Oryzias latipes: one gene and its partners. The protein of the gene in region 1 interacts with the protein of each later gene in a biochemical or structural test. Links are inferred from orthologs where the notes say so. Each region holds a gene or a part of one and is shown in the gene's direction. Other genes may lie near its edges. The genes, in order: rpa2, rfwd3 and atm.

The links.
Region 2: the proteins of rpa2 (region 1) and rfwd3 form a complex in vitro, tested with the Homo sapiens proteins (3 studies listed by BioGRID, with this or other methods). The link is inferred for Oryzias latipes from reciprocal best matches to the Homo sapiens genes RPA2 and RFWD3.
Region 3: of the proteins of rpa2 (region 1) and atm, one has a biochemical effect on the other in vitro, tested with the Homo sapiens proteins (3 studies listed by BioGRID). The link is inferred for Oryzias latipes from reciprocal best matches to the Homo sapiens genes RPA2 and ATM.

The regions. Positions count from the first base shown.
Region 1 is NC_019874.2:22,815,636-22,819,388, reverse strand, and holds the start of rpa2 (replication protein A 32 kDa subunit), read left to right. Parts: upstream 1-1,494; 5' UTR 1,495-1,617; coding exon 1,618-1,630; intron 1,631-1,862; coding exon 1,863-1,954; intron 1,955-2,188; coding exon 2,189-2,290; intron 2,291-3,191; coding exon 3,192-3,305; intron 3,306-3,520; coding exon 3,521-3,595; intron 3,596-3,753. Other genes in the region: smpdl3b (acid sphingomyelinase-like phosphodiesterase 3b), read right to left, coding at 206-419, 503-563. UniProt on the Homo sapiens protein: As part of the heterotrimeric replication protein A complex (RPA/RP-A), binds and stabilizes single-stranded DNA intermediates that form during DNA replication or upon DNA stress.
Region 2 is NC_019864.2:6,601,185-6,604,837, forward strand, and holds part of rfwd3 (E3 ubiquitin-protein ligase RFWD3), read left to right. Parts: coding exon 1-149; intron 150-1,692; coding exon 1,693-1,943; intron 1,944-2,036; coding exon 2,037-2,092; intron 2,093-2,288; coding exon 2,289-2,471; intron 2,472-2,556; coding exon 2,557-2,648; intron 2,649-3,045; coding exon 3,046-3,160; intron 3,161-3,653. UniProt on the Homo sapiens protein: E3 ubiquitin-protein ligase required for the repair of DNA interstrand cross-links (ICL) in response to DNA damage. Plays a key role in RPA-mediated DNA damage signaling and repair.
Region 3 is NC_019871.2:24,876,862-24,880,514, forward strand, and holds part of atm (serine-protein kinase ATM), read left to right. Parts: intron 1-1,871; coding exon 1,872-1,990; intron 1,991-2,679; coding exon 2,680-2,825; intron 2,826-3,205; coding exon 3,206-3,370; intron 3,371-3,473; coding exon 3,474-3,639; intron 3,640-3,653.

The DNA.
Region 1 (3,753 bases):
AGAAGATGTGTAGGAGACCTCTATATGCAGATCAGGACACTATTGCTAGACATCTAATAAAGGAACAAAATAGTTGTCTGAGATGTTTAGTAGACACCTAGAATAAGTGTATATTAGTTATCTAGTAGACATCTTGGTGGGAAATTAGTCTAATTGCACAGAAAAAACCCACAGAGGTTACCATGTAAAGAAGAAAAGTAGGTACCCTGTCCAGATGATGAAGTCTGGGTCTGGAAGAATGCTCTTCATGGCATACACAGAGGAATTGATCAGGTGCCATGGTGAGTCACAAACATAGTCTCCAAATCTACCGGCGCTCAAAGCAGGCCGTTTGCCGCTAGAGGCGCACACCAGCTCCGGTTGATCTGTCACTTCATAAGTTGGGTCCCAGTGCAAATCTGTGATATGCCAAAAGCTTCCTGGAAAAGATCAGCACATAGGCGAAGTAAGTAAATGTCACAAAATCATCTATAACACGCTGGTTACACAAGGCTCTACTTACCAGTGAGAGCAAGAGCTCCTTTGAAAAGCAGACAAGATAAGAAAAAGCTTGTTGCTGTCATGTTTGAGTGTCTGAGAACAGCTGTGCTGGAAAAGACAGGCAAGGGTCTATAAAGGAAGGGCAGAGCGGGCCAACACAACCTTCTTACCAAGGCACTGACATGCTTGTGTGGATCATAATAACTAAACCTTGTTTTATGACACAATATTATTAGTTTTTACGAGAACGCTTAAGATAAGAAGCACTTTTGACAGATTAAATCATTACAAAATAGCTCTCTTTGTCCATCAGAAACTACAAAATGACACTTTTATCATTTGATTCTCCATGGCAAGTCAGAACTAAAGCTTTCAACAGAAAATTGTTTTTCTTCAAATTAAATAAAAGTTTAGAAGTTCATACTAATACAGGGTGTTACTGATTAGCCTATGTTTATTGAGCTGCGGATTTGGAGGCTGAGAAAAATATTACACAATCCTATCACCTTTACTGTTGTTATTTAAACTAAAGACACACAAAAGCAAAAGGCTACCTTAAAAAGCAATTCAAATTTTAGACCATACGATCACACACAAAATACCTTTCACGTTTTATTTTTTTATATTTGTAATTTTTGAGATTTTGATAAGTTATAGTATTTACGCATGCACCAGTGCTCATTACAACTAGAAAACCTTTTTTTTTAAATTGAAAGGAACAAAGATCATCATGTTCCACCTCTTTGCGATAGCGTCATAATTTGCTTGTTATTTCCCGAAATATTTCTATCAGGTGTAGATTTTCTTAGTAAACAAGGATTATTAGATCTTTTAAAATAATACAATCATTATGAAATAAAAACAATGTTAGAGTTTAAGAAAAAAACGGTGGAAATTCCCCATTAATTGGAATGTTTACTCCAAAACCGTGGCAAATGCCTGACAGTCAAAAATCAGGGCCAGTACATTATCTATATACCTCTCGCGATGAAACGTTTCGCGGGAATTATCCCACGCGCATGCGTCTTACATTGAGTTTGGCGCGCGGGAATCAGGTCGTTAAGCAAGTTGGTTGCTCGATTTCACCCCGTCACTAAATTATCTTTGCATTTTAAGAATTACTTACGAAGTGTCAGCATGTGGAATCAAGGTAAATGTCGTATCCAAGTTGTTTGTTTGCCTTTACATCGTTCACACTGGCATGTTTGTGTTGTTTGGTACAGCTAACGTTAGCTTTACTTAACACTCAAGTCAAGTGGCTTCTTTGTTTATTTCTTACAAGTGTAATAGTTTGTTGTCAAATGTGTCTTCCATTAACATTGTAAATATGCCGAAAAGGGAGTTTGCTTCACTTGCTTTCAATTTCTGTGTTGAAACTTTAGGAGGCTACAGTGAGTCGGGAATGGTTGGGGGTTACACGCAGTCTCCTGGAGGCTTTGCATCGCCTGGCTTGTCCCAAGGAGAGAAGAAAGGGGTGAGAAATGACAATGCCGACAGAGTGATGGTGCCTTTCAAAACTTACACCGGTAGTTAAAAGTGATCCATATTAAAGCTTGAACATCTTTAATTCCACATTGTCCCTTTGACCTAACATAAACCGTTTTTATATTATTATTGCACTTGTCTTGTATGCTTGAGTGTTGTTTTAAGCACATAACGGTAACGCTAGTAAAAACTGAAATCCTTCTGTCTGTTTGTTCATCACCAGAGGACCCGTTCCACTCAAATTATACCCTGCACAGTGTCTCAGTTGATGTCTGCATCTCAGGCTGATGAAGCCTTTAAAGTGGGAGAAGTGGAGGTTAACCAGGTAACCTAAAATGCAAAAGAGTATGTCTACTGTAAAGTATTAGATATCATATAATTTTGATTTTACTCTCTCTCTTTAAAAAGATAAAAAAAACACAGACCTATGTATATATTTAATAACGATGGAAGGGAAGGGGACCAAGTCACAGTAAAACAAAGTCTCAATAATTACGGTAATAATTAGTTAATTGGAGCTAAAAAAAAAATCAATGAGTCCAAAAATAATGCCTTATCAATTGGGAAATAATAGATTTAGCTTTTTTCCTAATATATTTGTAAGCTTTTTGTTGGAAACAAAAGCATCAGTAAGTTATGGACTTTTACCTTTCTTTGCTATGTGGCAGATCTTTACAAAAAACACAATAATAATGATAAAATAAAATAGAAAATCTGGAACAAGTAATCTTTTGTTTGGCAAGCTGTTTGACATTTATTGAGCAAATATGCATCAAAGTACTTCCATCTTAAATTACCTTAACTTAGCATCTACATGAAAGCAAAAACATGAATGATTTATTTCATAGCTAGAAGTAAAGTCAGGCATCATAGGGTTAAAGAATGTTTTTTTTTTTTATTAATTAATTTTTTTAAATTAATATTTAACAATATTTTATAACCACGATTGTAAAACTTCAACGTATTCTGCTACACACATGTAGAACTTCTCCTTTCGACTGGTGTTTAAATAATTGATCCAAACTTAAGTCTTGGAAGCAGCAGTAAAATATCTGTTCGGAACAAGAGAGACCAACTCCAGATCCTTTATTTTGAAAAATCAAGACAGGTTTCTGTCTTAAATTTAGTGTTTACTAATGCATAACACTTGGCAACAAACAAACAAAAAACAACAAAAATGTACTTTCATATTGTTTTTATTGCCTTTTTACACATCTCTGTCATAGGTCACCATTGTTGGCATCATCAGAAGCACGGACAAATCCATGACCTACATCCAGTACAGGGTTGATGACATGACAGGTGCTCCTATGGATGTGAAGCAGTGGGTGGATACAGAGGTCAGTTGGTGACAACCCCTTGCTAAATATGATTCATAAGAGACACAGTCTGCAGACCATTGTTGTTTATAAACAACATTTGATCAAATCTACATCTTTATTATCATTGTTGATGCTGTCATTGCTGGTTTCATTAAAATATATATTTTAACATTTATTTCAGTTAACTTCCGGTTTCTAGAAAATAATTTCTCTGATTGGGTTTTATTTTGTAGGATCCGAGTGTGGACAGCACTGTTTTGCCTCCAGGAACATATGTCAAAGTCTCTGGAAACCTACGCTCTTTTCAAGTAAGTGTATTACAGGGCCTGCCAACTTTTATTTTTATCTTATTTTCTTCATGCGGCCCTAACACTGTAAACAAAGGGCCACGCTTTAGGGCCACACAAATTGGAAACTTTTGTCTTTTATCAGTTATTGCATGAATTAACTTAAAAAATGGTTGTCA
Region 2 (3,653 bases), on another chromosome or scaffold:
GAAGTGGACGAAGATGACGAAGAAGAGCAAAGAGCAGCTCAAACGCCTGTGAGGCTACCTTCCACCTGGGCGTTCAGCCAGAGGGCCGTGGGTGGAGCGGCTGTCGCACCTCCAGCCAGTCAGGGGGCGCCGATTCAGAGGAGGCTAAGGTACTCGCAGCTTCACAGATGAGGGTTTGGGGGCAAATCAAAGAGAGGTAAACGGATCAAATCTGTCCTACCTCCTTTTTTGCATTTTAGTAATCCAACTTTATTTTATTTATATAAACTTTATTGAGCATAAACACATTTACAGAACATGTATAAAGTGCCCTTAGGTAATAAATTAAAGGTAATAAATTAATAGTATTTTTGTGTATTTAATATCAAAGCTGAGATATGTAATTTTATGTTCAAAGTTTATGTTCAATAAATTCCAGTGGGTTCCAGGGCTAAGAAGAAATACAGAATGAGAGAAAAGGTGGAGTATAGATTCAAGGGAGTTTTTGCAAAAACTCCAGTTATTATCAAAATCAGGTAAAGTGGCAATGCACATATTTGTTGGATAAATATTATTTAAGTTATATTTTATTATTAACGCAGAACCTTTAAGGTAATTACCACGCTTCATTCCAATAATATCGGTTAAGATATTATTCCAGTAAATGACACCTTTAAGCATGGTGTTTTTTCCACACATAGTGTTACGTATGTGTTTAGTTTGCATTTTTTATTTAAGATATCAATGCCAATAATTGCCTTGGGAGGCTGTATTTTATTTGTAACTTGATACGTCATATAGGAGGCCATTAGGTGAAGTAGACCTGATGGGAAGGCTTTCATAACACTACACTACTCATTTTTTAATTAAAAAGGTTATGTTTTGGTCTTGAAGGTAGTCCTTTGGTTATGGTAATACCTAAATATGTAACTACATCTTTCAAGACTCGACTCAATTCACAGCTTCATGATCAACATAAGTGACGTGTGTAGCTGGACTACAAACGCTCATGGATGAGCTACAGAACACGCATACAGCCGCAGCACCTGCAGCTTCAGAGTCGCATGTGGCTCTTTTAGCCCTCCATTTTGGTTCTTGGTTAAAGACAATAAATGTCTTTTATTTAATTATTCAGAAATGTGAATTATTTTTATCATGGCGGCCGATGCAATAGCATAACTACGTGTCAGTGTCTAATTTTTCTAAAGGGTGAAGTGAGACTTTGGGCTCCTCCTGTGGTCTGTGAGACATCAGCCCGCATGGCTCTTTAGGTGTTGAAGGTTGCAGATCCTGGCCTAAGCTAAACAGATTATCCTGGAAACTGAACTTTTAGCCGATTTCACTCAGAAAGATCGTCCAGTGTGAATTTTAGGAAAGAGTTGTAGGGCTGAGCTGGATCAAGAGAAGGTGGTGCTCAACTCAAAGCAGCAGTCCTTTACATTGAATTAAAAGGAAACAGTAGTCTTCCAAAGAGCAAATGACTCGTTTGTGAGCTGGAACATGAGTAAAATTGAATTTAAATGGATGAAATCAGACACAAAAAGTAGCGATTGATTTGGGAATTCTTTTTTCCTCAAAATATCCAAAGAAATGAGTTGAACACTTGGCTTTTTTCCCCTCTTGGTCTACATAGAGGTGCAGATGAAGTGTAACTGGTTGAATGTGTCACCACCCGCCTCTGGGATAGACAGCGTTGTGGCGTCTGTGCTGCAGGCAGGGCCTCCGCGTGCATTATCCCAGCCAGACTGCAGGCCCCTCCAGGGGCTTCCCAGACTTCCATCTGCGAGCGCCAGCGGCCAGCATGGCGGAGCCGGAGTCCGGCAGCACCACCGAGGTCAGCGAGTCTGAGGAGGACGAGGAAAGGCGAGGAGAGGAGTCGACATCCAATGCTGCTCAGGATGTGGAACCTGGTGGTTCTGCTTCTACCCCTCAGCAGGCAGAGCCACAGGAGGCCAGTGCGTCCAGTGAGTGGCATCAAAACTGAAGCTGGGATCTTCCCCTCCTGTTGTCAGAAGCATGCTAATGCTGTGAAATACCCTCTCTGTCTCTTTGCACAGTCTCTGCCACAGTCGTTGACAGTGAAAGAACCGAGGGGACCGTTCAGGACTGCCGGGTAATCCTATTCTTGCATGTCTGCCTCACTGTTGCCTTCATGGCAGTGATCTCCATTTTTATTTTTAAAGTCAGAAGCATTAACACACAGTTCATGCAGGCCTCAGAGTTCGTCGTGTGTGTGTCAGATTAAAATTGCTGAAAAACACAGCAGTGGATCATATTCCCCCCCGAACTGTCATTGTGTCTTCTTCTAGACGTCCCAGGTCCAGTCATCCAGTCCTGAGGAGAATGAAGGCGACACGTGCACCATTTGCTTCGAGTCCTGGACGACGGCGGGCGAGCACAGACTGTCTGCTCTGCGCTGCGGACATCTCTTTGGCTACACCTGCATCCACCGCTGGCTGAAAGCTCAGGGATCTGCTGCCAAATGCCCACAGGTCAGAAACCCCGCAGAAACCCAGAGTGTCGTGGAAAGATTGAACCTGTTTCTATGGTAAACATGTGTTCCCTGTGTGATTTCAGTGCAACAAGAAGGCAAAGCGGTCAGACATTGTGCTGCTGTACGCACCAAAACTGAGAGCCCTGGATAACTCGGAGCAGGAGAGCCTAAAAAAGTTAGCTGTCTACATTTTTTTATTCCCAAACACAGTAGGCCTGCTGCTCTGGCATGAAGCAAAGCTGCATCTAAAGAACTGATCTGAAGGAGGAGTTCACAATCAGACCGTCTTTCAAAGCAAAAGGATTTTCTCTAAGAGCCAGAATTTAAACTGGACTCTGAAATGCAAATGGATTAGATCAACCAAAAGCAGTTGGATTTTCAGTTTTCTGTCAACAGAGGTGAAGCAGAAAACTGCCAGAAACTGTAATAGATGAGAAACTCATGATTGCTAAGCTTCTACAAGAACGCATGGCCTGATTATAAAGTAGAGTCTACTGAAGTGACTGAAAGCATAACATCCATCAGAGCTGTATCTGAGACTTGGCTCATGTTGTGTGTTTGTGTCTGTGCAGGTCTCTGGAGCAGGAACAGTCTCTGAGGAGGAAGGCAGAGCTGGAGTCTGCTCAGTACAAGCTCAAGCTGCAGGTGGTCACCACCAAGTATGGCCATGCACAGCAGGAGCTGCAGGTATCAGTCTGCTGCTCTCACCAGCAAGTTTCCTCTGACGTCCTCTTCCATGGTTGTGCTGAAGAGCCGCTTAAGTCAATGTAGAAACGAGCGCAGACACAGTCAGTCATTGCTGCTGCTGTTTGTTTCAAAGTGACCCCCGGGGGTGTATAAATCCCACGCCCCTTAATGAGGCGAAATGCTGCGGTGCAGCAAAGGGGGGTTGCTTGTTGTCAGAACCGGAGGCAGAAGAACGCTGGGGGCTGACGTCGCTGACATAGTGCTGTTGCATTGGCCGCTGGGTGAAAGCTGGATGCTTTTAAACCTCCACGTTTTTCAAGGAGAAGGTCAGGACAAAGCTGCAGGGACCTGATGGTCAGGACGAAAGAAAACCTGGAACCTCTGGATCAGAACAAGTCTGTTTGTGTGAGACACGGGGGGAAAACTGATGCTTAGAGACGGACATGTAGGCTGCCCAGAAGGAGACAGATTTTATTATTCTTGATCTTTTCCT
Region 3 (3,653 bases), on another chromosome or scaffold:
TCTTTACTATAAAAGCGATCTAGGAAACTATTTGCAGACTGTTTTCTTCTCTTTTTTTTTTGAAACAATTCCTTTGCTTCATTGTCTGAACAGAAGCAGGCGGTAAGAGGTGAACTTTCCCCCTGAAATGGTGCTTTGCATCACTTAACATGACCTTCAGCGGACATACCACTGTCTTCCGCTGGTTAGTCAGGGGTTGACATAGCCCAGAAATTTGCACTGGCCCACAGGGCCAGTAGTTTTTGAAACTTACTGGCCCTGCCTGAAAGTTACTGGCCCGACACCGCGCATAGCGGGACCCGCCGCTCCGCAGGTGCTTGCAACTTTAGGGGGGTCTGGGGGCATGCCCCCACGGAAACTTTTAATATGGTGCAATTTGGTGCATTCTGGTGACATCACTTATTTCTACACTTTTCAATGACTGAAAATAGACCATATCAAACTTAAATCTGCTCTAGTCTGTTTCAGATGTTTTGAAGAGAGCACTGCAGTGTAGTAGGTAACACTAGTTCAGAAGTTTTCATGGTGCTTCTAACGGCAAATATCGCAATAAATCATAAACCTTAAATGTGTTAAAACAATCTAATGGCAGCTTGAACCATTTAACGAATCAAATAAATCCCTTAATGCATTTGACCAATCGGATGGACGCCTTCACATTGTTGACCAATCAGATGGAGCCCTGTTATGTTAGATGTTTGTAACCTATGTCAACGTGGGTCATTGGAGTATAATTTTTAAACTGGGAATGGTTATTTGGTTATTTTGCTGTTTGTTTATATACCGCAAATTATATCGTTATCGCAATTTTAATCTCTGATATCGCATATCGCGAGTTTTCCTCATATTGTGCAGGTCTAACTGAGATCATTCAGCTAACTAGAAATACTTACTGCTTACAGTGTTGTAAAGAAAAACAAAATTAAGTAGTTTAACATTCTACTGCATTTGAGTCTGAGATTCAGGTATTTGGAGTTGCCTTTGATTCTTTGACATTCAGCTTAAAGCTTAGTGGATACAGTTTCATCTTCAATGCATTCATTAAATATCTTGCTGTCCATACTACTAATTATACCCACTACTCCATCCAACATATTCCTATCTATTCCTGCCATGTCTTCCACATCTCTGACATGCTTCAGTCTCTCTTCAGTGACGGTGTCGGATTTATAATCAAATGTAATGATAACCCACTGGCTTGTGCCTTCGTTGTTGCTGTTTAACATTGTTTTGTATTGAATTGTTACATTCAATAAAGTTTGAAAAAAAAAAGTAGTGAGCGCGTGCCGCGTGGTTCTCGGCAGTGAATGCCGCGCGCGAGCAGGCGGGAGAGAAGGAGAAGTGATCAAAGGTTTCCCATAGAAACCCTTGAAGTCTGAACACAGGACTAACATAAAAAAACTAAATTATGAAGACGAGGTAAATCTACACGTTTTCGCAAAATTTACTTTATTGAAAAAGGTGAAGAATATATAAACCGTTAGATATTTTAGTGGCCCGAGCGGACAAATGAAAAGTAAAGTCTTGTGGTCCGAACTGCTCGAAAAACAAGACCGGGCCAGCGGACAAATGGCTATGTCGAGCCCTGTTAGTTCTCCTACAACAGCTGCAGCAGAGCGAGGTGCGGGCTCTGTAGCCGTTACCGTGACAACTTGCCACACCCTATTTCTAATAGTCCGCTTCTTGTGAAAAACGATTGAAACCTTTAAAAGAACAGGATCAAAGTACTAATAATTGCTCAAATTAATATATTTATGGTAAGTGACCGTAGTATAAGTGCTATGGACTTCGGCGTCGTCCCTTATTTTCTGATAAAGAACACCTTGTGGGGCATTATCCCTTACTTAAGTGCCATTGTTTTGTGCCATCAGAAAGAAGCTGAAAACTTCAGACGGCTCCTTCGATCTCCTGCAGTTTTGCAAGAACTGGATTGTGCCTCATTGGCCAAAGCCAAAGTCTCCAAGCAGCTCACATGGGACAATGTCTTCAGGTAGTCTCCACTATGGAAGAAAAGGTTTTGGTGACTTTTTTTGTGCACAGGTTCAACCCGCATTTTAGGTGAACTCCATGTTTAAACACGGGTTATACCATGGTCCGGGGGAATACTCGATTCTGATTGGCTGCTGGGTGTGCATTAAAACCTGACAACCGCATGGTGAAGAAAGAAGTTCCAGTCACCTAGCTTAAATGTTTTGTATCACTGCGCCGGCTTCTTTAAAACAACCTTTTACTTCATCATTTGGACAAAAACAAGCGGTAAGAGAACTTTCTCTCTGAACTGATGCTTTATTCAACCCATCGGAAAGATCAGCATATATATATCGCCAAATCTTGACTGCAGCGGCGGTGCGAAAAAAGCGATTCGCCGCATCACGAAACAAATAGTCCGCTTTTTGTGAGAAAGGCGATCCAAATCGGGAAAAAAAACAACATTTAAGGACTAAAAACTGGTTAATATGTATTGCTTTTGTAAGTGACCATGGTATAAGCGGGTTAATGGCCTTCAAAGTGTGCATTATCACTTTTTAACGCACTTCGCGTCGGACGGTTCAGGCTTCCAAGGCGTGCGTTAAAGAATAATAACGCACACTTTGTCGGCCATTAACCCTTACATAATCTGTAAAATTCTTTTAAGATTCTGTTCTTCTAATGTGTGTCACTGCATTTTTCCTGGACCAGGTTCCTGCAGCATTATGTCCAGAAGGAGATGGAAAGTATTCAATCAAGTAGATCCAATGTGACGGCAACCACGCTGGCTATACGGCAGAAGAAGATGGCTGAAGTGTGCAGCTTGATTAAGTACTTTATTCGTTATGCAAACAAACGTAAGGGCCACACTCTGCAGTCCAAGATGTTGTTTGGCATAATAATAAAAATATGTTTCAATAATGATTGTAGACACACATCTTTTGTTCCCTACTCTGATCCTTAAAGAATGACTTTAATGAAAATTGGGGTTTAAACATATTCTAATGATGGAGGACGTGCATAAAGAAAATTAAGCTTAAAAGTACAGAAAGTATAGCCTAGAAAACAACATTGATTTTGGTTGAAAACGGCGTAGTCATAATTATATCATCATATTATATGACCACTGGGAACGCTTTAAAAATACATCAAAAGATGATCGGAGTGGGGCTTGAAGGAAAGCTTTTGAGTAGACGCTAGTCAGAATTTGGTTTTTACGTATTTATTCTTTTTGCAGGCGGGCCTCGTCTGAATTGCAGTGAGCTGCTGAAACACGTGACAGAGGTTCTGCAGAGCTCCCACTGCTGCACAGCGTACGGAGAAAATTACAGCAGCATCCTTTTAAAGGACATCCTCACCGTCCGCAAGTACTGGTGTGACATCTCTCAGAAGCAGTGGCAGAGTGCGGAAGCATTTTTAACTCCATTTCTGGAAAGTTTTGCTTTGTCAGCTCTATTCTCCAGAATTCTACATATCATTTTCTTGTTCTTTGTTTTTTCTCATAGATCTGTTGGATTTGTACTGTGGCTTTTTTAACTCTTCCTCCAGATCCATCAACCGTGTGTTGCTCAGCAGAGTCATCCACACGTTGGTGCGGGGCTGCTGCACGCAGACCGACGCCTTCACCGACGCTCTGTTCGGCTTTTTCACCAAAGCTCTGCTTAATGCCAGGTGAAATGTCAAAT